Linked DNA regions of Elephas maximus indicus. The protein of the gene in region 3 interacts with the protein of the main gene of each other region in a pairwise test. Links are inferred from orthologs where the notes say so. Each region holds a gene or a part of one and is shown on either strand. Other genes may lie near its edges.

Evidence for each region.
Region 1: the proteins of COQ8A (region 3) and LDAF1 interact in binary tests that used the Homo sapiens proteins (3 or more experiments, as listed by UniProt). The two-hybrid records come from large-scale screens. The link is inferred for Elephas maximus indicus from reciprocal best matches to the Homo sapiens genes COQ8A and LDAF1.
Region 2: the proteins of COQ8A (region 3) and TMEM239 interact in binary tests that used the Homo sapiens proteins (3 or more experiments, as listed by UniProt). The two-hybrid records come from large-scale screens. The link is inferred for Elephas maximus indicus from reciprocal best matches to the Homo sapiens genes COQ8A and TMEM239.

Annotation. Positions count from the first base shown.
Region 1 is NC_064830.1:81,014,185-81,021,222, reverse strand, and holds the start of LDAF1 (lipid droplet assembly factor 1), read right to left. Parts: upstream 3,070-7,038; 5' UTR 2,946-3,069; intron 2,523-2,945; 5' UTR 2,321-2,522; exon of another isoform or gene 2,301-2,320; intron 2,295-2,300; exon of another isoform or gene 2,128-2,294; intron 415-2,127; 5' UTR 327-414; coding exon 231-326; intron 1-230. UniProt on the Homo sapiens protein: Plays an important role in the formation of lipid droplets (LD) which are storage organelles at the center of lipid and energy homeostasis. In association with BSCL2/seipin, defines the sites of LD formation in the endoplasmic reticulum.
Region 2 is NC_064843.1:41,403,261-41,410,488, reverse strand, and holds the start of TMEM239 (transmembrane protein 239), read right to left. Parts: upstream 2,105-7,228; 5' UTR 2,094-2,104; coding exon 1,635-2,093; 3' UTR 1-1,634. Other genes in the region: C25H20orf141 (uncharacterized protein C20orf141 homolog), read right to left, coding at 2,857-3,094, 3,192-3,457.
Region 3 is NC_064842.1:16,659,592-16,667,221, reverse strand, and holds the start of COQ8A (atypical kinase COQ8A, mitochondrial), read right to left. Parts: upstream 3,005-7,630; 5' UTR 2,878-3,004; intron 1-2,877. UniProt on the Homo sapiens protein: Atypical kinase involved in the biosynthesis of coenzyme Q, also named ubiquinone, an essential lipid-soluble electron transporter for aerobic cellular respiration.

The DNA.
Region 1 (7,038 bases), on a different chromosome or scaffold from region 3:
TTCCCCTTCTCCTCCATCCAACTACCTGGAACATGGATGTAATGGCTGATGCTCTAGCAGCCATCTTGGACAATGAGGTTGAGGGTCAGAGTTTAGACATGACAGGGTAGTGAGCTAGAAAGATTCCCGACCTCCCTCTAAATTTCTTCTACTTGAGAAATAACTTTCTATCTTGTTTATGCTAATGTTATTTTGGGATTTTCCATTACACATGGTGATTGGAAACTGACCTTTACGTTAGTCTGGAAGGATTCTATCAGCAAAGACAGCTTCTTCTGCAGCTCCTGCAAGTCCTTTGAGATACTTGGGAGCTCCTCTTTCGCCATGGTGAAACTCACTTTAGTCTCCTTGGGGACTGACTCTTCTACCAGTGAGTGCAGGGTAGTCAAATGTCACATGTCGCTCTCTCTCTTGCTGTCACGGAGGAAACAAAAGAAGATTCTTAAATCGTTAATGGTCCGCATGTAATTAGTTCAGTAAGAGTTTCTACTATCCTCACACATTCCTGTTGGTGGATGTGTAGGTGGAGGGTAACTTGGCAGTATCTGTCACAATTTCGAATTACATACCCTCTGATTCAGCAATTCATTTTCCAGGAAGCTGAAGGAAATAATCAAACAGGTATATGAAAATATACCAAACAGCTGTGCATTGGAACCTACATAATAAATATGAAAACACTGGAAAGAAGCTAACTCACTGTCCATTAGTAGGAAATTGGTTAACTAAATCAGAATAAAGTCATACAATGGAATATTGTACAGTCGGTAAAAGGATAATGTAGATATTTATATAGGGTATGAGAAGATGGCCATGATAATGGAAAGAAATCAGATTGCAAAATCGTACATTTTGTTACACATACAAATATATTTTTAGGTATATATTGCTATTCCTATGAACTCGGGATAGAAACAATCTAGAAGTGCATACAACAAGATGTTAACAGTATTTTCTCTGAGTGCTTATGTTTATTCTGACAAAATGCTGAAAAGCACATAGAAAAAAGCGAGGAAGCTGAATATACTATCTCAAGTCCCATTGCTTGTTTTTCCCCCTGTACAAAGACTTTCCCAAACAACTGTGACCTTGGCTGATTTCCCTCCTTTAACCCTGGTTGACACAATGGTTAAGAGCTACGGCTTCTAACAAAAAGGTCGGCAGTTCAAATCTACCAGGCACTCCTTGGAAACTGTATGGGGCAGTTCTACTCTGTCCTATAGGGTCGCTATGTGTTGGAATCAACTCGATGGCAAGGGGTTTGTTTTTGGTACTGTGCAGGTTGCTTCCCAATTGCACAGTGCCATAAACCATTCTCTATTTACTCATATGCGTAAGCCTCTTCCCCAAGCAGCCCTCACCACGGTGATACTCTATGGGCAACAGCCTGGAATTTCCAGAACTGTTCCAACCTCACATCATTTTACTTATTTTTTAATAAAAAGCAATTTGTTAAGCTATTTTTTTTTAAACTCTTGTTGGATGTTCATCTAAACAAATATATCATCCTTATTGATTTTATTTTTTTCCAGAGCAACAACAATAAGGCTGGCCCCAGTCTTACAGCCTTTACTGTTTGTTCCTTACAACTGACCTCCTGGTCTATAATAAAACCACTTGCCATCAGTGACTCTGCACACGCCTAACCGATTAGGTCACAGCAGCCAAAATGCACTGTGACACATGCCCACATTTACTTATATGCTGAATATTCCATATGCTGACTATGTGAGTTTCAGGAAAAAAATTTCTACAAGGATCTCATATGCAAAAGTAAGCACATTTTAATCACCTCGGCTAAGGGACCCCTGCTACAATCCCTTTTGTAAAACAGGAAACCCTCCAGAACGGAGGACTAACCTCCCACCCTCGTATTTTGTCTTTGGAGCTGCAGCTGGCACAGATCTTGGACTGGGGATGTTCCAGCGCTGGGCTCCCCTCATGTCATCTCTACAGCGGGTAGAAACAAGCCCAGCTTCCCGTACAAGTCTCTTGGGGCCTGGGAAACCCAAGAGCCACCCAGACCGGTTTGGGGAGTCCGATAGGGGTAAGCCTCGGAGGAAAGCCACCAGCCACTGCCGTCAAATCCCCCGCCCAGCCGCCAATTCCAGCCCCTCAATTACTCACCCCTCAGAGGAACCTCCCCAGGCAGAGAAGTATCCGGAGGCAGGAAAACGTTAACCCCTGAGTAGCCGAGAGCTGCCCCGCCTCCTCTGCACCTCCCGGGCTGAACCACTTCAACACTGGCCGCCTTGGCCACTCCTTCTAAGCCTCCAAATAAAGCATCCTGCCTCTCCTACCTCTCGGGGCAAACGGCTACCTGCAACGTTCCATGGGTCCCCATCTGGTTTCAGTCTCTCAGCTTCCCAGGGCGGGGAGGGGAGGTCCCATTTCTTGTCATCCAAGAGGAAGGGAGTGCGATGCAGGTGGAGGGCAGTGGAGATTGAGAAAGAGGGGCTCAGGGGGGAGTCGGAGTAATTTGGGAAGAAGAATCCATCTTTGGTGCTTGGAGCTCCTCTGCTCTGCAGTGACAGGGGAAGGGGAGGTTCTCGTTAGAGAACAAGGACAGGATGGGAGGAAGGACAGCCATTTTGACTAATTCTGGGGAGGGGGATTTGGAGACCGGACGTTTCCCCACCTAGGTTTCCCAGGGTCTCGAGGGTCGGGTAGGGCTGGCAACTCTTCTACCAAACCTAGCTGTAGGGGCTGTGGGTGTGGCCAGGGAGGGGGTGGGCGACTGGGCCCAGTCTCCGGTCCCAGTGACTCAGGTGAGAAGAAACCCCTTAATTTTTTTTTACTAGACAGCGGATACAGAGCTAAGGGCGTGGGGGACTCGGCCGCCCTCTCCAGCCCCGGCTCTCGGGCTCCTCCATCTCCTCCGCCCGCCAGTGGTACAGCCAGCCGGGGCACCCTGTACTCCCCGCCCCCAAGCTTCGCGCTCTCACCTTGTCCGAGGCTCCGCCGTCCCCAGCCCACGCGCACCCCTTCGGCAGGCGGAGCGAAGGGAGGGAGAGTCGACGCACGAATGCACGGGCGGGCGCGGAAAGTGCGTCCTCTTCGCGTCGCCGCCTTTCCCGCCCCTCGGCCGCCGGCTCCGCCCCAAGGCTGCGCTCCCTTCCGCCTTGCCCGCGGGGCGGGAAGCATTGGGCCAGAGGCGCCAAGCGGCCGCGCCCAGCTTTGGCAAAGGGCCATGGAGCCACCGGGACCAAAGGGAGAGGTTTGCAGATGAGGAAACTGAGGCTCAGAGAGAGTCCCCAGGCTTGGAGCGAGAATGCTCGGGCCGCCTCTGAGACAGGTGGACTGACAGCTAAGAATGGGTTTTCACACAGTCTTAGGGCTTTCCCTACCTAAATGCCCAGAATCAACTCTTCTGGAAGCATCTCTGGAGCTCAGAACTCACGTGGTGAGGTATGACCCTGACAAAGGTTTTAACTCCTCGAATGCAAATGGAGTGAGCCAGTGAGATCCTTAGAGATTGTACATATGAAAAAGTCAAGGGCCTGGGAGACAGTAACTAAACCCAAATCCCTCAATTAGCAAGGATACGAGTCAGAGCCAGAGGGAGCCTACGTTCTTGACTCCAAATCCTGCCCAAAGAGCAGCGTTTCTTAACCTCGGCACTGTTGATGTTTCCGGCAGGGTAATTCTGTGTTGTGTGTTGGAAGTTGCCAAGTACGTTGTAGGATGTTTAGCAGAATTCCCGACTTTACCCACTAGATGAGGAGCTCTGGTGGTGCAGTGGTTAAGCACTCAATCGCTAACCAAAAGGTCGGCCAGTGGAACCCACTGTCCGCTCTGAGGGAAAAAGATGTGGCAATCTACTTCCATAAACATTACAGCCTTGGAAACCCTATGGGGCAGCTCTCCTCTGTCCAATGGGGTTGTAATGGACTTGATGGCAGTGGGTTTTTTTTGTTTATACACTAGATGCCAATACAACCCCCCAAGTCATGACAGCCAAAAGTGTCCCCAGATATAGCCAAATGTCCCCTGGGAACACCGTTTCCCAGAGTTGACAACACTACCATAGGGCATACTGGCCACAGGGGACATTGGCAGGAGTCCAAAAGTCCTGGGCTCTGGGCCCCGACTCTTACTGTGACTTCCTCATCTGCGTAACAGGGAGAGTGACAGACTGACAGACCTGAGCCTTGGTCTCCTACTGTCTAGTCCTCTGGCACTTCCCATCCAGGGCCCTTTCGGACCTACCTTTTCTCTGTGGCCCCTGTTGATAGTGATTTAGGAGATAATATCAGAGCCATTATTCCCCGTCCTAGAATGTGACCCAGCTGGAGCTGGACTCACAAAGTCTCACAGGGACACATCAGCTGGGCCCTGAGGTATAAAGGACAACCGTGGAAAACATCTTTTAGGGATCCTTTCACATAAAGCACTCATAAAAACAGCACAAAAGACCCACATACTTTCCACTCTTACGTCTTTTTTATTAGCGTTTAGTGACTAGTAAAATTTGTTGGACTGATAAAGACCCCCCTGACCATCGTTACTGAAACCTGTACCAGTGATAGTTAAGAAAGACAATTCAAAATACAGGATCACAGTGACCGAACAGGTTTTAGCCAATCGGTGAAAAGGCGAAGTTTTCAATGGTTTTGCGCATTTGTAATGTTCATATATACTGATGAATCTGTAACGTTCCTTGGACTGGGACAGACATGACTGTGGCAGCATGCTTGTTTGTTTTCCCACTCTTGTCTGTTCTGTAATATTCCTTGGACTCAGGCAGACATGGTTCTAGCAGCATGCTTGTCTGTTTCCCACTTTTGCCTCTTTGAATATATGATGAATAAAACCTTTCTTTTTGTTTTACTAAACTTTGTGATATTTTTACCCTAGAACAATAGCAACCTAGAAAAGAATTCTTTCTACAAAGAGAGAAAGCGTCACCGAGCTGTAGTGAGGACTGGCATAATAATGGCTGTAAATTAGAGTTTAGCACCTATCTGGCATACAGTAGGGCACAAAATGTATTTGGTGGTATTATTACTTTTGCCACCTGAAATTTCTATAAGGGCAGTGGATAGGGAAATAAGCTTGGGGATGATGATGATGATGGTAATTAGCTAAGGGATCCGGCTGCAGCACCTCCACAACAGCAGAGATAAAAGGGAAGATACGAGGATAGGGACAGACAAGTATCCCTAAACTCGTAAGTTTCAGACAATCCTGTCTGGCTTCATGCACTTTGTTCAGCTGCAGTATGATTGGTGCCCCTCCCAGGAAAGGGTTTATTTTTTTCCTTAGAACAAAACACTGCCACTATGGTTCCTTGGTGCACATTGCTTTGAAAAGCTGAGTTGGGGCTTCCACTGGGATTTTTGTTCAAGGATGCCATCTAGGGGCTCTTCTGTGAAAAAAAATTCTTCCCACCTCTATGGTATTTTTATAGGGCCTCTCTCCTGCCTCGTTTTGCTTCTTGCATTGTATACATATCTGCTGCTCCACCACGCCCTGTATCCCCTGATGGCCTGGATCTTGGCATCTCTCCGTAGCACCAGGACTGGACTCTCAGTGAACATTTCACAGGTCAATGAAATAAATCCATGTGCAGCTTTTCCAATACCTTTCCACAGTTACTTGCTGTCTTAGTTCTCTAGTGCTGCTATAACAAGTGGATGACTTTAACAAACAAATTCTATTTTCTCACAGTTTAGGAGGCTAGAAGTCCAAATTCAGGACACCACCTCGGGGGGAAGCATTTCTGTCAGCTCTAGAGGAGAATCTTTGTCTCTTTTGAGCTTCTGTCCCTCGGAGATTTCCATGTGGCTTGGCGTCTATCTTCCCCCATCTCCGCTTGCTCAATCTGCTCTTTTTATATCTCGGAAGAAGACTTAATTAAGACATATCCTACACTAATACTGGAAACCCTGGTAGCATAGTGGTTAAGTGCTACAGCTGCTAACCAAGAGGTTGGCAGTTCAAATCCGCCAGGCTCTCCTTGAAAACTCTATGGTGCAGTCCTACTCTGTCCTATAGGGTCACTATGAGTCGGAATCGACTCGACGGCAGTGGGTTTGTTTTTTTGTTTTGTACACTAATACTGCCTCATTAACATAACAAAGAAAACCCATTCTTAAATTGGATTATAACCACAGAAATCAGGATTAGGATTTGCAACACATACTTTTAGGGGGCACAATTCAACCCATAACACTTGCTTTAACTAATCAACTATTTCAGGCTTCAGAAAAATCTGCCAGGAGTACTGGGCTCTGAATAAGAAATGTGTGAAAATTTCCCAGCAACAGACTGAGAGCCTAAAATGTTAATGCCACAGAGACTGGGAGCCACAGAGACTGGGACAACCTGGAACCTAGCTGAATGCTCCTCTCCATGTTGCCAGATTTAGTAGGTAAAAATACAGGACATACATTTAAATTTGAATTTCGGGTAAATGATGAATCACTTAGTATAAAAAAATATAAGTGTATCCCAAATGTTGAATGTGACATACTTATACTAAAAAAATTCTTTGTTGTTTACCTGAAATTCACATTTAACTGGGCATCCTGTATTTTATCTAGCATCCCTATGGATGGGGGCGGAGGGATTGAGGGACTTGAGGCCTGTCTGCATCCCCTCTTGGGAATTATGTAACAGAGAGTAAAGTCAGATGACAAACCGTTCTGGTGCAGGTGGCCTGGCGGGGGAGGGGTGGCGTTTTCAGTCTTTTTGGCAGGTATTTTATTTATTTTCCATCTTCAGATGACATGTAGATAGGTTTTCAGTTAAAGCCATGGAGCCGATTCTATAATCAAGTTCAAGTTCCAACTTTGCTTCTTACCTAACTGAGTGACTTTGGACAGTTTTTTTAACCTCCCACCACCTCAGTTTTTCCAAACCTAAAATTAGGATAGTAGTAGGTATTTATTTAGGAGCCCTGGTGGCACAGTGGTTAAATGCTTGACTGCTAACCAAAAGGTCAGTGATTTGAACCCACCAGCTGCTCTGCAGGAGAAAGATGTGGCAGTGTGCTTCCTTAAAGATTACAGCCTTGGAAACTCTATGGAACAGTTC
Region 2 (7,228 bases), on a different chromosome or scaffold from region 3:
GGAGCATGCAGAGTTACACATTTCTACAGCAAATGGGTTTTGGCAAAGATGAAACCAGGTATTCGATAGGGTTGGAGGGATTATTCCTCAGGGCTTAAGTATTTAGGGAGCAGGAGAGGGGGACTTTGGGCTTAGGGCTGCAGGAGCAGGGATTTTAAGGTTAGATATAAGGTGGGGGTCAGGACTGGGCTGGGGCTGAGAAGGAGAATGGATTGGGGGTGGACAGAGGTTGGGAATCATTTCAGGGTCAAAGATTGGGTGGGAGTTAGGAGTGGGATGGGGGTCAGGTGGGTGGGTCTCAGCTGTGGGTAAGGTTGTCTGTCATATATCTTACTTGGTAATAACTAATCACTCAATGTTTTGTTTGGAGGGGTTAGATGATAAGTGAATGGCCAGGATCCAGGGCACCAAGGAATGGCACCTTCCAAGGCCCTCTTGGTTTAGAACTTTCCTGGATCAGTTTTGGGAACCCATGAGCTAGCTTTCCCTATTCACACAGCTGTATAAGCATCTCTTGGCACCAAGTCCCAGCCCCAAGCATTTCACCGTCAGAAGAGTCTTGCATCTGCACACTTTTGAGATTTCATGGCACGTGGCCTTTTCGTATCTTGTCCACACCCATCCATTTACCATCTTAGAGCCAAAATTCTATCTATAACAGAGCATTCCTCTGAAAGCCCAGGGAAGCTACCTGCTTTTCAAGGGCCTTCAGGCCCAAAAGACTCTTTGAGGCTACAGAATGTTCTTAGTGTTCAAAACAATATCTTACAGTTTTCTGGTCTTCACAAAGCACTTCACAGATAGGCATTGCCTTTGACTCACAACAACCCCATGATAGGGTTGGGACCCATTTAACACTGAGACTCAAGGAAATTAATTGGCCAAGGTTACACATTGTGTAGATGCGTAAAATGGGACTTATTTGTTTTTCCACAACAGGCCTGGAGAGTCTTAACAAGTGAGTAGCTACTCTCTGGGAACCTCACTACCCTAGTTGGCTCATTTCCCAGACCTGGGGATGTAGACTGAAACAGGAGAAAAGGAAGTCTAGGAAACAGGGGATGCCTGGGTGGAAAGGTCTAGAAGGTGAGTTGAGGTCTCAGGGGGGTTTCTGCCAGTTCCTCTCCCACTAGACTTCTATCAGTGAGGCTCTCTCCTGATCTGTGGCACCTCTGAAAGTGGGAAGAAGCATTGGTGGGAGAAAATGGAGAGTCCAGGGGTAGCCAGGTGGAAGTTCTAGGTGAGGTCTGAGGCTGAGAAAGCTGAGCAGTTGCAAGAAAATGCTGCCAGTTGCCAAGGGGCACCCAGTAGTGTCACCACATCCACATGGGAACCCTCAATGGCTTGGCCAAGCTCTGCCCCCGCTTAAGCCTTCTGCCCTATCCCCTCCTCTCAAAGTCACTGTCTCCCCACACCAGGTACCTGAGGCATCAACTTGAGGCAGGCACTAGAGATCAGGCCAGTCTGTCCTGTCAGCTCCAGAAACACTACACAAGTTTCGGCCCCATGCTAGCATCTGGGGTGCTGGGGCCTGCTGAGGCTATAAGGTCCTGGTCCCACTGCCCTCCCTCTCCCCAGGCCTCAGGCCCTAGGCCTGGGCTCAACAGACACAGGCAGCGGGATGGGGTTGCCTTCTATTGGTCCAAGTCCTGAGTGTGGCCAGTGTGAGACATGGAAGCAAGGAGACCCACAAGGCTCAGCAGTGTGGAGAAAAGCAGCAGGAAGGAGGCGGTGAAGAGCATGGCGGGGAGGGCACTGAGCACCAGCAGCAGGATGGCAGGCAGCAGGTGGCGCCACGCTGCAGCCACAACAGGCCACAGGGAGCTTAGCAGGTGGGAGCCAGTGGTGAAGAGAGCGTGGCACAGCATCAGCGCCAGCAGCAGGTAAAGCATCCCCTCAAGGCCCCATAGCACACGTTGCAGTGGTTGCCGCCAGCTGGATGTGGCCCACCACTGGGCCCAGCTCCGAGGCACATGGCATGCCCACCAGCGCGCCCAACCCTGCCGCGAGACCCAGGCCGACCAGGGCGCCACAGGCTGCAGCCCCTCACCGGCCCCGATGGCATCTGTGTCCACTCGCGGCTGCTGCATCATGGCTGGTGCACCTGGGGAGAGGGCCGGGCCAGTTGCAGGAGCAGCCCTGCAGAGGCTTGCTACCTCAGGTAGGTAGGGGCATGGGGCTCAGGAAGGCACCAATGTGGTTGGGATAGGGCAGTGAGCTGGGGCCCGGGACTTACCTCTGGGCAGAGCCACCTAAGTCATGTTGCTTCCTGCAGTGCCCAGGACAGCCCAGTAGCTAGATCCGAGGCCCCAGTCTTGCCCACCCCCACCCTCCCCAGAGGAGCCCTATTGTGACCCGGGTCCGGGGTGGGGTCCAGCCAAGAGAGGAGCCACTGTGGACCCTCCAGGCAGGCAGGGGAGCCAAATGAGCCCTTGGCTGCAGTGTCTAATACTTTCTTGTGAGGAAGCCCTTCCTGGGTCCCCGACCCTTCCCTGCTGCCTGATATTCAGCCCCACACCCACTTTCTTGCAGGTCTTTCTCTCTAGACTGTCATTCTCTTGAACCACAGAGGGGGCGATATGCCCACCTCCAACCTGCAGGCTGAGATCAGTGCCACCTCCTGCCCCGGGCTCCCTGTCTCTCATCATACTATCCCTCACCTTCTCTCCCCAGCTGGGCCCCCAGATCAGACCTAGATGTCCACTGCCCACATTGTGGGGCCAGGGCTTCCTGGAGGTTCAGGCTCGGGATAAGGGGCACCTCCCTCCTGCCCAGCCCAAGATGAAGGAAAGGAGGCCCGAGGAAGCAGGATAGCCAGTGTATTTTGGGAGGGCACGCAGTGTTTTGGGAAAGCGTTCAGACCCAAGGGTGGAGGCAGAAAGCCAGGCCAAGCAGGGCCAGGGGCATGCCCTGGGCCCCCAGGAGCAGACCCAGGCCCAAAAGCAGCAGTAGAAGCGCATCTTGGAGACTGACTTGTCTTATGACTGCGACCGGTGTCAGAAGCAGAGCCCCCTGCTGTCCTGGACCTTCACCGGCTCCCTGACTCGGGCCCCCTGCCAGAGGCCTGTGCTGCAGCAGGGTGGGAGCTGTGGGCCTGTGAAGAAAGAGGGAGGCAGCAGGGCTCAGAAAGGTTGACCACTTGTCCACCTGCCTACATGTCTCCCCACCTGCCAGGCCGCCTGGCCACTTACCCGTGGAGCAGATCAAAGGCAAGGAAATTGACCAGTAGCAGCAGCAGCAGCAGCGCTGGTACAGCTGTGAAAAGGACTGCTCGAATTGCCAGCCCCAGGGCCACCAGCCCTAGGGCACTGTCCAGGAGGTGGGCCAGGCTAGGGCCCCAGAGGAACACACTTGGACCCACTGGACTGCCTGACCCCTTTCCAGCATCCAGGTGCCTGGGAGAGACTGGAATCGGACCTGCCAGGGCTTGGGGCCCGGATAAGCAGAGCCCGGTCATGGAGGGATGTGGTGACAGGAAGGGTTAGTGCTGGGAGGGAATGTCAGGGGTGGGGGTGTGGGCAGGGGTGGGGCCCTAGCAGACTCTCAAAGATGAGCTCCGAGAGTGGGAAATTGGGCTTTAATTGGGCATGAACCTCCCCCTCCCCCCACACCCACCCACTGAACCCTCCTTACCTCCTCCCACCTGGCCAGCAATTCGGAGACTGGGAAGCTGGGCCATTGTGACCTGCTGCCAGGCGGAGCCCTGGGAGAGGGAGGAGGCTGCTGCCTAGTTCTGGCCTCATAAGCAGCTGGGAAAGCCTAGGTGGCTCTTGGCCAGAAATCAGTGATTTCTGAGAACTAAAACTCACCCTCCTTGCCTTGCTAACCCTTTGCCCCAGGGACCTCTCTTGGGGATCTGAGTTCTCGGGAAGACATTCTTACCCCATTACTGCATGGGCACTAGGCCAGGGGAGAAAAGGGAGGGCTACTGTCTTCCTGTGAGTTCCCAGAACTGTGTGTCCAGGGGCAAGTCATGCAAATTCTCTGTCCCCATGTCTCTCCCCTGAGAGTGGGTGATGCCTGTGGGCTCTTGGGGGGATTTGCCAGGGCTACAGCTCTGGAAGACAAAGAAACTCTGCCAGGAAGCAGCCTAAGGCTTTCTGGGGCTGAGCTCCCACATGACCTGCTAAATGGGGTAGGGGCAGGAGGGGGCAGTTCATGTGTTCTAAGCACTACAGTGTGCGGGAGGTGTTCTGGAGAAAGGGTCCCAGAAATGGAATAGAGGATGTGAGTGTAGGAGGGGTACAACATAGTAACCCCCTAAACTGGAGGCTAAGGTTACCTTCTGAGAATATTAAGGAAAATCAACATGCAATGAAGGGATCAAGGGGCCCTGGTGGTGCAGCAGTTAAGCACTCTGCTGCTAACTGAAAGATCAGCAGTTGGAAACCACCAGGCACTCCCGGGGAAAAGATGTGGCAGTCTGCCTCCATAAAGATTGCAGCCTTGAAAACACTATGGGGCAGTTCTACTCTGTCCTATAGGGTCATTATGAGTTGGAATTGGCTCAATGGCAATGGGTTTTTTGTTTGTTTGTTTAATGACGGGATCGGTCACCTAGAAAAGAAATCTGTCCCCACTGATAGTCTGTAAATGAGTGGTGGCTGCAGAAGTTCCAGCATGTCTCAGTTCAGTGACTTGAGAGGCAAGAGTGGAAATGGGTCATAATTGTTGTTAGGTGCCATCAAGTCAGTTCCGACTCATAGCGGCCCTATGTACAACAGAACGAAACATTGCCCGGTCCTGTGCCAACCTCATGATCGTTATTATGCTTGGGCCCATCGTTGCAGCCACTGTGTCAATCCATCTTGTTGAGAGACTTCCTCTTTTTCACTGACCCTCTACTTCACCAAGCACGGTGTCCTTCTCTAGGAACTGGTCCTTCACGTCCAAAGTATGTGAGATGAAGTCTCACCACCCTCCCTTCTAAGGAGCATTCTGGCTGTACTTCTTCCAATACAGATTTGTTCGTTCTTTTGGCAGTCCATGGTATATTCAGCATTCTTTGCCAACACCATAACTCAAAGGTGTCAATTCTTCTTTGGTCTTCCTTATTCACTGTCGAGCTTTCACATGCATGCAAGACAATTGAAAACACCATGGCTTGGGTCAGGCACACCTTAGTCCTCAAAGTGACATCTTTGCTTTTTAACACTTGGAAGAGGTCTTTTGCTGCAGATTTGCCCAGTGCAATGTGTCTTTTGATTTCTTGACTGCTGCTTCCATGGATGTTGATTGTGGATCCAAGTAAAATGAAATCCTTGACAACTTCAGTTTATTCTCCGTTTATCGTGCTGCTGCTTATTGGTCCAGGTGTGAGGATCTTTGTTTCCTTTATGTTGAGGGGAAACCCTGGTGGTGTAGTGGTTAAGTACTACAGCTTCTAACCAAGAGATCGGCAGTTCGAATCTGCCAGGCACTCCTTGGAAACTCTATGGGGCAGTTCTTCTCTGTCCAATAGGGTTGATATGAGTCAGGAATCGACTCAATGGCAGTGGGTTTGGATTTTTTGGTTTTATGTTGAGATGTAATCCATATTGAATGCTGTGGTCTTTGATCTTCATCAGTAAGTGCTTCAAGTCCTCTTAACTTTCAGTAAGCAAGGTTGTGTCATCTGTATAATGGAAGTTGTTAATGAGTCTTACTCCAGTCCTTATGCCCCGTTCTTCTTCATATAGGCCAGCTTCTTGGATTATTTGCTCAGCATACAGATTGAATATGCGAGGTGAAAGGACACAACCCTGATACGCACCTTTCCTGACTTTAAACCATGTGGTCTCTCTCCGTTCTGTTCCAATGACTACCTCTTGATCTAGTTCCTCATGAGCACAATTAAGTGTTCTGAAACTCCCATTCTTGGCAATGTTATCCATGACTTGTTATGATCCACACAGTCGAATACCTTTGCATAATCAAAAAAAACACAGGTAAACATCTTTCTGGTATTCTCTGCTTTCAGCCAGGATCCATCTGATATCGGCAGTAGTGTTCCTGGTTTTTTGTCCTCTTCTGAATCCAGCTTGAATTTCTGGCAGTTCCCTGTAGATATACTGCTGTAACCACTTTTGAATGATCCTCAGCAAAAATTTACTTGTGTGTGATATAAATGATATTGTTCGATAATTTCCACATTCGGTTGAATCACCTTTCTTTGGAATAGGCATAAATATAGATCTCTTTCAGTCAGTTGGCCAGGTAAGCTCTCTTTCAAATTTCTTGGCATAGACAAGTGAGCACTTCCAGCGCTGCATCTGTTGGTTGAAACATCTCCACTGGTATTCTGTCAATTCCTGGAGCCTTGTTTTTCACCAGCGCCTTCAGTGCAGCTTGGACTTCTTCCTTTGGTACTTGATCATATGCTACCTCCTGAAATGATTGAACGTCGACCAATTCTTTTTGGTACAGTGACTGTTTTCCCTCCATCTTCTTTTGAAACTTCCTGCATCATTCAATATTTTGTCCATAAAATCCATTACTACTGCAACTTGAGGTTTGAATTTTTTCTTCAGTTCTTCCAGCTTGAGAAATACCGAGTGTGTTCTCCTCTTTTGATTTTCTAACTCTAGGTCTTTGCACATGTCATCATAATACTTTACTTTGTCTTCTCGAGCTGCCCTTTGAAATCTGTTCAGCTCTTTTACTTCATCATTTCTTCCATTCCCTTTAACTACTCTACATTCAAGAGCAAATTTCAGAGTCTCTTCCGACATCCGTTTTGGTCTTTTCTTTCTTTCCTGTGTTTTTATTGACCTCTTGTTTTCTTCATGTATGATGTCCTTGATGTCATTCTACAACTTGTCCAGCCTTTGGTCATTAGTGTTCAACCCTTCAAATCTATTCTAGAGATGGTCTCTAAATTGAGGTGGGATATACTCAGGGTCATACTTTGGCTCTAGTGGACTTGTTCTAATTTTCTTCAGCTTCAACTTGAATTGCATATAAGCAATTGATGGTCTGTTCTGCAGTTGGCCCCGGCCTTGTTCTGACTGATGATATTGATTTTTTCCATAGTCTCTTTCCACAGATGTAGTCAATTTGATTCCTGTAAATCCCATCTGGTGAGGTCCACGTCTACTGTTGCCATTTATGTTGTTGTGAAAAGGTTTGTAAAGAAGAAGTCGTTTGGTCTTGCAAAGTTCTATCACGTGATCTCTGGCATCATTTCTATCACCAAGGCCATATTTTCCAACTACTGATCCTTCTTCTTTGTTTCTAACTTTCACTTTCC
Region 3 (7,630 bases):
CCCACTGGGGTTTCCCAAGGTACCTGGACAAGCCCCTCTCCAGGTATCTCACTCAGTGTCCTGGCCCCACCACAGGGTCATCAGACTCCAGCCCTCCCACTGGTGCAATTCCAGAAAGAGCAGGGTGACCTAGGCAGCCCCCATGCTCCCACCACCTCTCCTTCCCACTGGCTCTCCCGAGTTTCTGGCTGTTAACAGGAATGCCAGAACTATATCCAGATACCACTGTCAAATCAAGACAACTCTCTAACCAAATATTCCTGTCTAATTTTGCACACAGCTCCAGTTTCAACTGACAAAGATAATGACTCAATGCCCACGGCTCTTAATGGAAAATTATCCTGCCAAGTTTGGAGCTTCCCAATAATAGACTTTTTTAAACTTCTCTTTGAGAAGTGACCCCCCTGTCCTGAATCTTTTCTACAAGCAACAAAGGGCATCCCAAAGACCCTGCAACTGACCAAGGAATGATACAGGAAAACCCTGATACATCCCCAGAGCATGAGTTGACAACCAGAAAAGGAAATTTATGGTAGGGGCTTAGGATTTTTCCTTGCGCAGGCCTTACACAATAATCACTGTTTTTCATTTTTCTGTATCTGCATCAGTTTGGGACTCAGACAGTTGAGGCATAAATTCCAGGCAAAATCTGGACTTAGAAGTAAAGCATCTTTCTCTAAACAAAAAGAAACGGCACACTATCTTTATGACACCACTGCTTCGATCGACTATAAAAGAAAACCAAACCAAACCCATTGACGTCAAGCCAATCTCAACTCAGAGCGACCCTATAGAACAGAGTAGAACCGCCCCATAGGGTTTCCAAGGAGCAGCTGGTGGATTCGAACTGTCAGCCTCTTGGTTAACAGCCAAGCTCTTAAGCACTGCACCATCAAGGCCCCAACATGTCATAGTGCACCATGACCTTCCCAGGAAGCCTCTCTAAAGGAAGAAGCAGGTGGTACATGTACATACACACACGTACATGTGAAACGCAGCCAGACACTCACTTCCTGCATACACAGGTCTGACTCCATCCCAAATCACAAGACACAGAGCTGTCTGAGCAAAAAGTGAGGGTGAGTAAAGCGTTACCATGGAAAACCCACCTCTGGATAAAACCTTTCTGCCAGCATTTAGATAGCTTAAACTTGTCTGCTTACTATTCAAAAGCTGTTCCAATAGTTGTTTCATATGAACACTCCCCAAAGTTTTCCAAGGTCCCCAAAGGCAAATGCCACCAGTCTCCTACTTCTTTTACACTCCCCATGCAGCCAATCACTGCTAGGTAAATGCCCATGGAACCCAGCCTCCTAGCTCTCCACTGGCAGGTGGGGTCAATCTACATGATGTCTACCAGTGGTCTGGGGCAGGGGACACAACACTACCCAACTACAGGTCCCCAAAAGGCCCTGGCAACACAGAGAGACGCTTTTTGGAGTCTTAGATCAGTAGCTGTCAACCCCTATAAGGAACAGTGGGCAATGTTTGGAGACATTTTTGATTGTCACACCTGGAGGGGAGGTGCTACAGGCATCTAGTGGGTAGATGCCAGGGATGCTACTACACACATCTTCCAACACACAGGCCAGCCCTCCACAACAGAGAATTATTCGGTCCAAAACGTCAGTACTCCCATGGTTAAGAAGCCCTGTCTCACATGACATTCCAGCTCTGAGGGAGGTGTAGAGGTGCAGAAACCACCAGGTTCACTTTTTCTTCGAGTCACCTGAGGCCAGGGCAACACTTAGAGCAACTTTGCATTGTCTACGTTATTCACAAGGCTCAACAAAACCGCCCAAAGCCATTGCTTGAGTCTTGAAGATGCTGCTCCTATGAGCCACCAGCTCCCCTTTTGTCTTTTTTCAGGAGAGTCTTCCTCCAACAGAGACAGTCTCCCAACAGCCCTCTTGCGAGAATGACCCACCCATCCATGGCATACAACTGGCAGGCTGACATTAATTCATGCTCAAACCCTTTGGCAAGGAGGTAGGCCTGGCATGCCCAGTTCTCAGGCCTCTGTCACGTAGACCCAAGGCCCAAGTGTGCGTGGACAAGTTTTCCAGTGGGCTGCAGGCCCGACCCAAGCTGGGAAGCTGCACAAGCCTCACCCTTCAGAAGGTTTATATCTCTCACCCAAATGGAGGGTCTCAGCACCCAGACCTGCCCCTGCACCGTTCCCTCCGGGGAACCCAAGCACATGGGAAAACCGGCCTGGGTTTGGCAGAGGGGAGCTGTGTGGCCACTATGCATCCAGTGGGGCCCAGGCTCGAGTTTAGGGGATTAAGCCCAAAGCACTCACAAGACCTCTAACGTCTGGAGAAGTAGCAGGAAGGACCAAAGAAAAAAGCAAACAAAAGAAAGGACCCCAAACCTCCACCTGTGAATCCCAACAGCTGGCTCTGGCCAAGGGAACCAAAGTTCAGACACAAACCTGCACCCTGACGCAGTTAGAGCCCCTCAGTCACGGGTGAAAATTGCACGGGGGCCCGGGAGTGACGAGAACCCTATCGTGAGAAAACGAAGCAGGAACGCTCTACTGGAGACCACGAGGCACGGACTTTGGAGCAGCCGGTCACCAGGGCTTCCTTGAGCGTCCCGGGGACCCATGGCTCGGCACATGGGCCTCATCCCCTCCTCGAGGCTGGTCCGGATGGGCGAAGGTGGGTGCGGAGGTAGGCGACAGCTACAGAGCCCCCACCCCGCATCCTGAAGCGCGCCCACCCCAGAGCTCCAGGCAATTCAAACTTGCCAAGGTGAAGCCGCAATGTCACTTAGGGAGAATGCAAGAAGGGCCCAGGCGTGTGCTAAGCCCGGCTCTGGCCGCAGGCAGACGGCGCCCCGGGCACGCGACAGGCCGAAGGGCAGCAGCCTTACCTGGCTGCTGGAGCCTGGGATCCGCGGTCACCTTCGCGCAGCGTCCGCGCGCTCACCGCAGCGCTGAGGCCCAGCACGCGCTCCGGATCTGTTTACCAACTCGCCCGCGCCCGGGTAGACCCAGCGCCGGGCCAGCCCCCGCCCCGCCGGCCTCTCCCATTGGCTGCGCAGCTGTCGCCGGCCGAACGCCGCGCAGCTCCGGGAAGCGTGCTCGGCCCGTGCACCAGGCCTGCGGCCAATCAGGACCGGGGGCGGAGCGAGAGGAACCAATGGGCGGTATCTCTAGCGAGCCGGTCTCCGCCCATTCTCCCCTCTGGCACCTCCCAGCTGCCCTTTCCCCTTGTTGGGACCGCCCGGGCTGCGTGCCTGCGGTGGTGCTGGGGCGCGGTGCGCGTGCGCCCGGAGAACGGGCTTTCTCCGCGGCCAGGTGCTGTAAGTGGCCGCGGGGTGGGCCGTTCGTCCGTCCCTCCCTCCTGCTCTCCGGGCTGTAGAAGCCGAGACTCCAAGCAGGTCTGGGAGAGGAGGCCCTGGAAGAGCCGGCGGGCCTGCGGCCGGCCGCGGAAGGGGTACCTCCTGGAGGACGGGGGAGGCTGCCCCTTGCTCCGCCTTAGGGAGCCACGGCCCCTTGCCCAGTTTGCGCAGAAAGCGCCTGGAGAAGTGGGAAAGGCGGCGTGCGCCCCTGCCCCTTGTGTTCAGCTTTTTCCTCCGGCCAGTGCGTGTTAGCTTCTGCTGTGGGCGCCATCCTCAAAACAGGAAGGCTGCAGGGCCCTGGGCGTCAGGAACCTCCCGCCCCTGCCTGCCGGGCGGGGGCCCTCCGAGGCGGGGGTGCTGGCGGGGTGTGCAGCTGCTGGCTCGGGGCGCAGGGCGGAGAGTCGTTCGTTCTTGCCCACGAGTCTCGTCTGACAAACCGGGGGACAGGCCAACACGTGGAAGAAGTCGGCCATTCAGTCAGGAGTGGCTTTGGAAGGGGCATTTTTCTCTTGTATGAACCCAGTTAACCGCGGAGCAAACAGATTGCGCCAAATCACTCCTCTGTTTAATGAGGGGTTAGAGCCAAGGTCTGACGATTTCCACTCAAGTGTTTCCCCAACACTGATCTGAAGTCCTGACCTAGGTTATTAGTGGTTCTTGTGGAAAAGAGAAAAATAAGACAAATTTAGTCAATTTTCAGAAAACGAAAGGTAAACGATTGGCCTTTATTCTGAGACTTTATTTCTTGGTGTTAATTTTTTTTTTTAACGAAACAATGGCTTGTTTATTTTAATATTGGTACTTAAAAAAATTAAAAGTTAACCATTCTATGTTGATGCCTAAAATTTGGTGTGTGTGGTGTTTATTGTAATAAATTCTAACCATGAACTTAACCTCAAGAGTACCTCACTGACCACTTGGAGTTTGGCTGCCCAGTGGTCTGACCTGAGTCCCTGGGTACTGCAAATGGTTAACACTGAAAGGTTAGAAGTTCTAGTCCATGCAGAGGCGCCTCAGAAGAAAGGCCTGGCGATCTACTGGTTCAGCCATTTGAAACTTCTGCAGAGCACAGTTCTCTGACACACACGGGGCTGCCAGGAGTCAGAGTCAACTCCACAGCAAGTAGTTTTTTGTTCCCTGAAGAACAGACTTCTAAGTGTGTGCATGATGTGGGTGAACACAGTTGTGAGCTCTGTGGCAGGCTCCCTTCCTTCTGGGAGGTGAAGAGCGGGGGACTGTCTTCCATGGAAAATGGAGACTGCACTTTGTGGCTTCTCTGCAGAGTACCTGTGTACTGGTGGGTGCGCCTCTGCACAGATATTCTCAGGGCTGGCTGTTCCCCCTTTACCCCCCACCACAGTCCAAATTCTTCTTTCTCCGTCTTCCCTACACTGTAAAGGAAATTTTGAGGGTGAATAAAGGAGTTATTTTGACTGAAGTTTCAAGTAATTGCAAACAGTCCAGGACTAACAACAGGTGCTTGCGTTGATTAGGCCAGCTAACTCCATCCTACCACGCAGTTGGGGTTAGTCTTCAAAGAGGGTCAAGTGCTCCCTCCTACATTAACTGTCCCTTTGTACTGCCTTTCATTCCTCCAAGCCACCCCAGCCTGGTCCACCGACCCCTGCCCTTGGCGTAACGGAATCCACTATTCATCCCTTCCTGTGTCTTACAAACTCTACTCCTGTCCAGCTTCGTTTGGGTGAGAGTGGTTTTCATCAGATCCTGCTTCCTGCTGATGGAAGAGGGTAGAGGACGTGGTGCTCTGGTTCCACAGATGCGGGGAGCGAGGTGGCTGCTTTCCCGTGTCAGATCAGCCCTGCTCCACCATGCCAGGGCCACCTTCAGTCCTGTACCACCTGAAGACAAACAACCCACCATCACAAACAGTAGCTTACTTCAAGGACCATCTGTCTAGTTTGCTAGTGAAATGCGCCCCAGTTAGTCTATGTCAAGAAGGCCTCTGTCAGGTTAATATGATTTTGACCTTATTCCTTGTGAAATAATGACCTCAGCTTTATTATACTAAAAACAACATTTCTCTCTTTTCCGACCGGAAACAGACTTCCCCATTGCTGTGAATTAAAGATTCCTAAAAATTATTGTTTAGGTGCGATAATGGCATCATAGTTATGAATTTTTGTTTTTGAGTCCCTATGTTTTTTTTTTTTTTATGTTTTTAGAGATAACTCACTGAATTATTTCCACATGAACTAAAATGATGTATAGGATTTCCCTCAAAATATTAACAGGGCTAGAGGGAAGCAAATGGGCCATGCTGGTAATTATGGAAGGGCAGTGATGGGTATATCAAGGTTCATTATATTCTTTTGTCTTTTTATATATGTTTGCAAGTCTCCATAATAAAAAGTTAAAAAAGATACTTGAAAGACCAGATAGAAGAGAGTACGATAGCACTAATGATTGAGGTGAACAACAGGAAAACAACAAATAACAGTCATTACTACTCTTCTTGGTATTAGCTCTTTGTCGGCTTCACTATAAGGTAAGAGCAGGGATCATTCTAACTGGAATTGACAAGAAGACAGCCAGAAAATTCAAACTTAGCAAGAAGACATTTGAGACATGGATTTCATTCACCGTATACCTCACCCTAAGAGGCTGTTTTGCCTTGAAGTATTAGCTAGCCATCACGTGATGTCATCATAATTAACAAGACATTTTTAAATGTTATCTTAAACTTGTAAAAATTAAATTTTTGTGCATATTTCATAGTGGCATAAAATAAAAAATGCACATGTCTACGTTCATATATATACGAATAAGCAAAGGCACCTGTGCCTAGGACAGTGGGGTGAGAAGCATGGTGCTCCAATAATACATCTTTCTTAGTAACAGAGACAGAAGAGGCACTTGCCAGTTTCTCTCACTCTGCCGAACCATTCCCTTTGGTATACAGACCTGTCATAATATCTCTTGCTCTTCACCCGCATTCCTATTTCTCTGCTCCCCTTTTCGCAAAACTCCTGGAAGAACGACCTACATTGTTTCCACTTCCCTTTCTCTGGTTCTACCTGAACCAATCTAGTCAAATTTTGCCCCCATAATTCCCCAAAGGAAACCCTGGTGGCATAGTGGTTAAGTGCTATGGCTGCTAACCAAAGGGTTGGCGGTTCGAATCCTCCAGGCGCTCCTTGGAAACTCTGGGGCAGTTCTACTCTGTCCTATAGGGTCGCTATGAGTCGACTGCTCTTCAAGGACACCACAAGCCTCAGTATTGCCAAATCAAGTAGTCAATTCTCAGATCACATCTTAAACTATCAGCCAGATTTGACACAGTTTATCATTCCCTCCATCTTTCTCAGTGGCTGCCCTGGGGATTAAAATTAACATTTTAACTCACAACAATCTAGCTCAAATTAGTGCCAATTTAAATTTTTTTTTAACATAAACTCCTTATTATTTAACATTTTATTGTGTTTTAGGTCAAAGTTTACACAGCAAAATTAGTTTCCCATTCAACAATTCATACGCAGGTTGTTCCATGATGTTGGTTGCTGTCCCCGGAGTGTGTCAGCACTCTCCCCGTTTCCACCCTGCCTTGCTCGTTTCTGTCCCTCCAGTTTCCCTGCCTCTCCTTGCCTTCTCATCTTTGCTTTTGCACAAATGTTGCCCATTTGTTCTCCCACAGTTGATTGTACTAAGGAGCACATTCTTCACAGGTGTCATTGTTTATTTTATTGGCCAATTATTATTTGGTTGAAAGATGACCTACAGGAGTGGCTTCAGTTCCAGGTTAAAAGGATGTATTAGGGCAATAGTCTTGGTGGTTCCTCCAGTTTCTATCACTCCGATGAGGCTGGTCTTTTTTATGAATTTCAGTTTTGTTCTATATTTTTGTCCCACTTTAACTGGGACCTTCTATCGTGTCCCTGGTCAGAGCGGTTGGTAGTGGTAGCACCTAGTTTTTCTGTCCTCGGGCTAGAGGAGGTTGTCATTCATGTGAGCCATTAGTCCTGTGAACTAACTGCTTCCTTGAGTCTTTGGTTTCTTCACTCTCCTTTGCTCCAAATGGAAAGAGACCAAGAGTTGTATCTTAGATGGCCGTCCACAAGGTTAAAAGACCCCAGACACTACTCACCAAACTAGGATATAGACCATTGAGAACTATGTTATGCCAATTGGCCTAGATATGTCCAAGACTATGGTCCTTAGCCTTCAAGCCCAGTATCTCAGTCCCACGAGGTGTTTGGATATGACTAAGAAGTTTCCGTAACTGTGCCCTCTATGTGCTCTATTATATAAAACCTATATATATGAA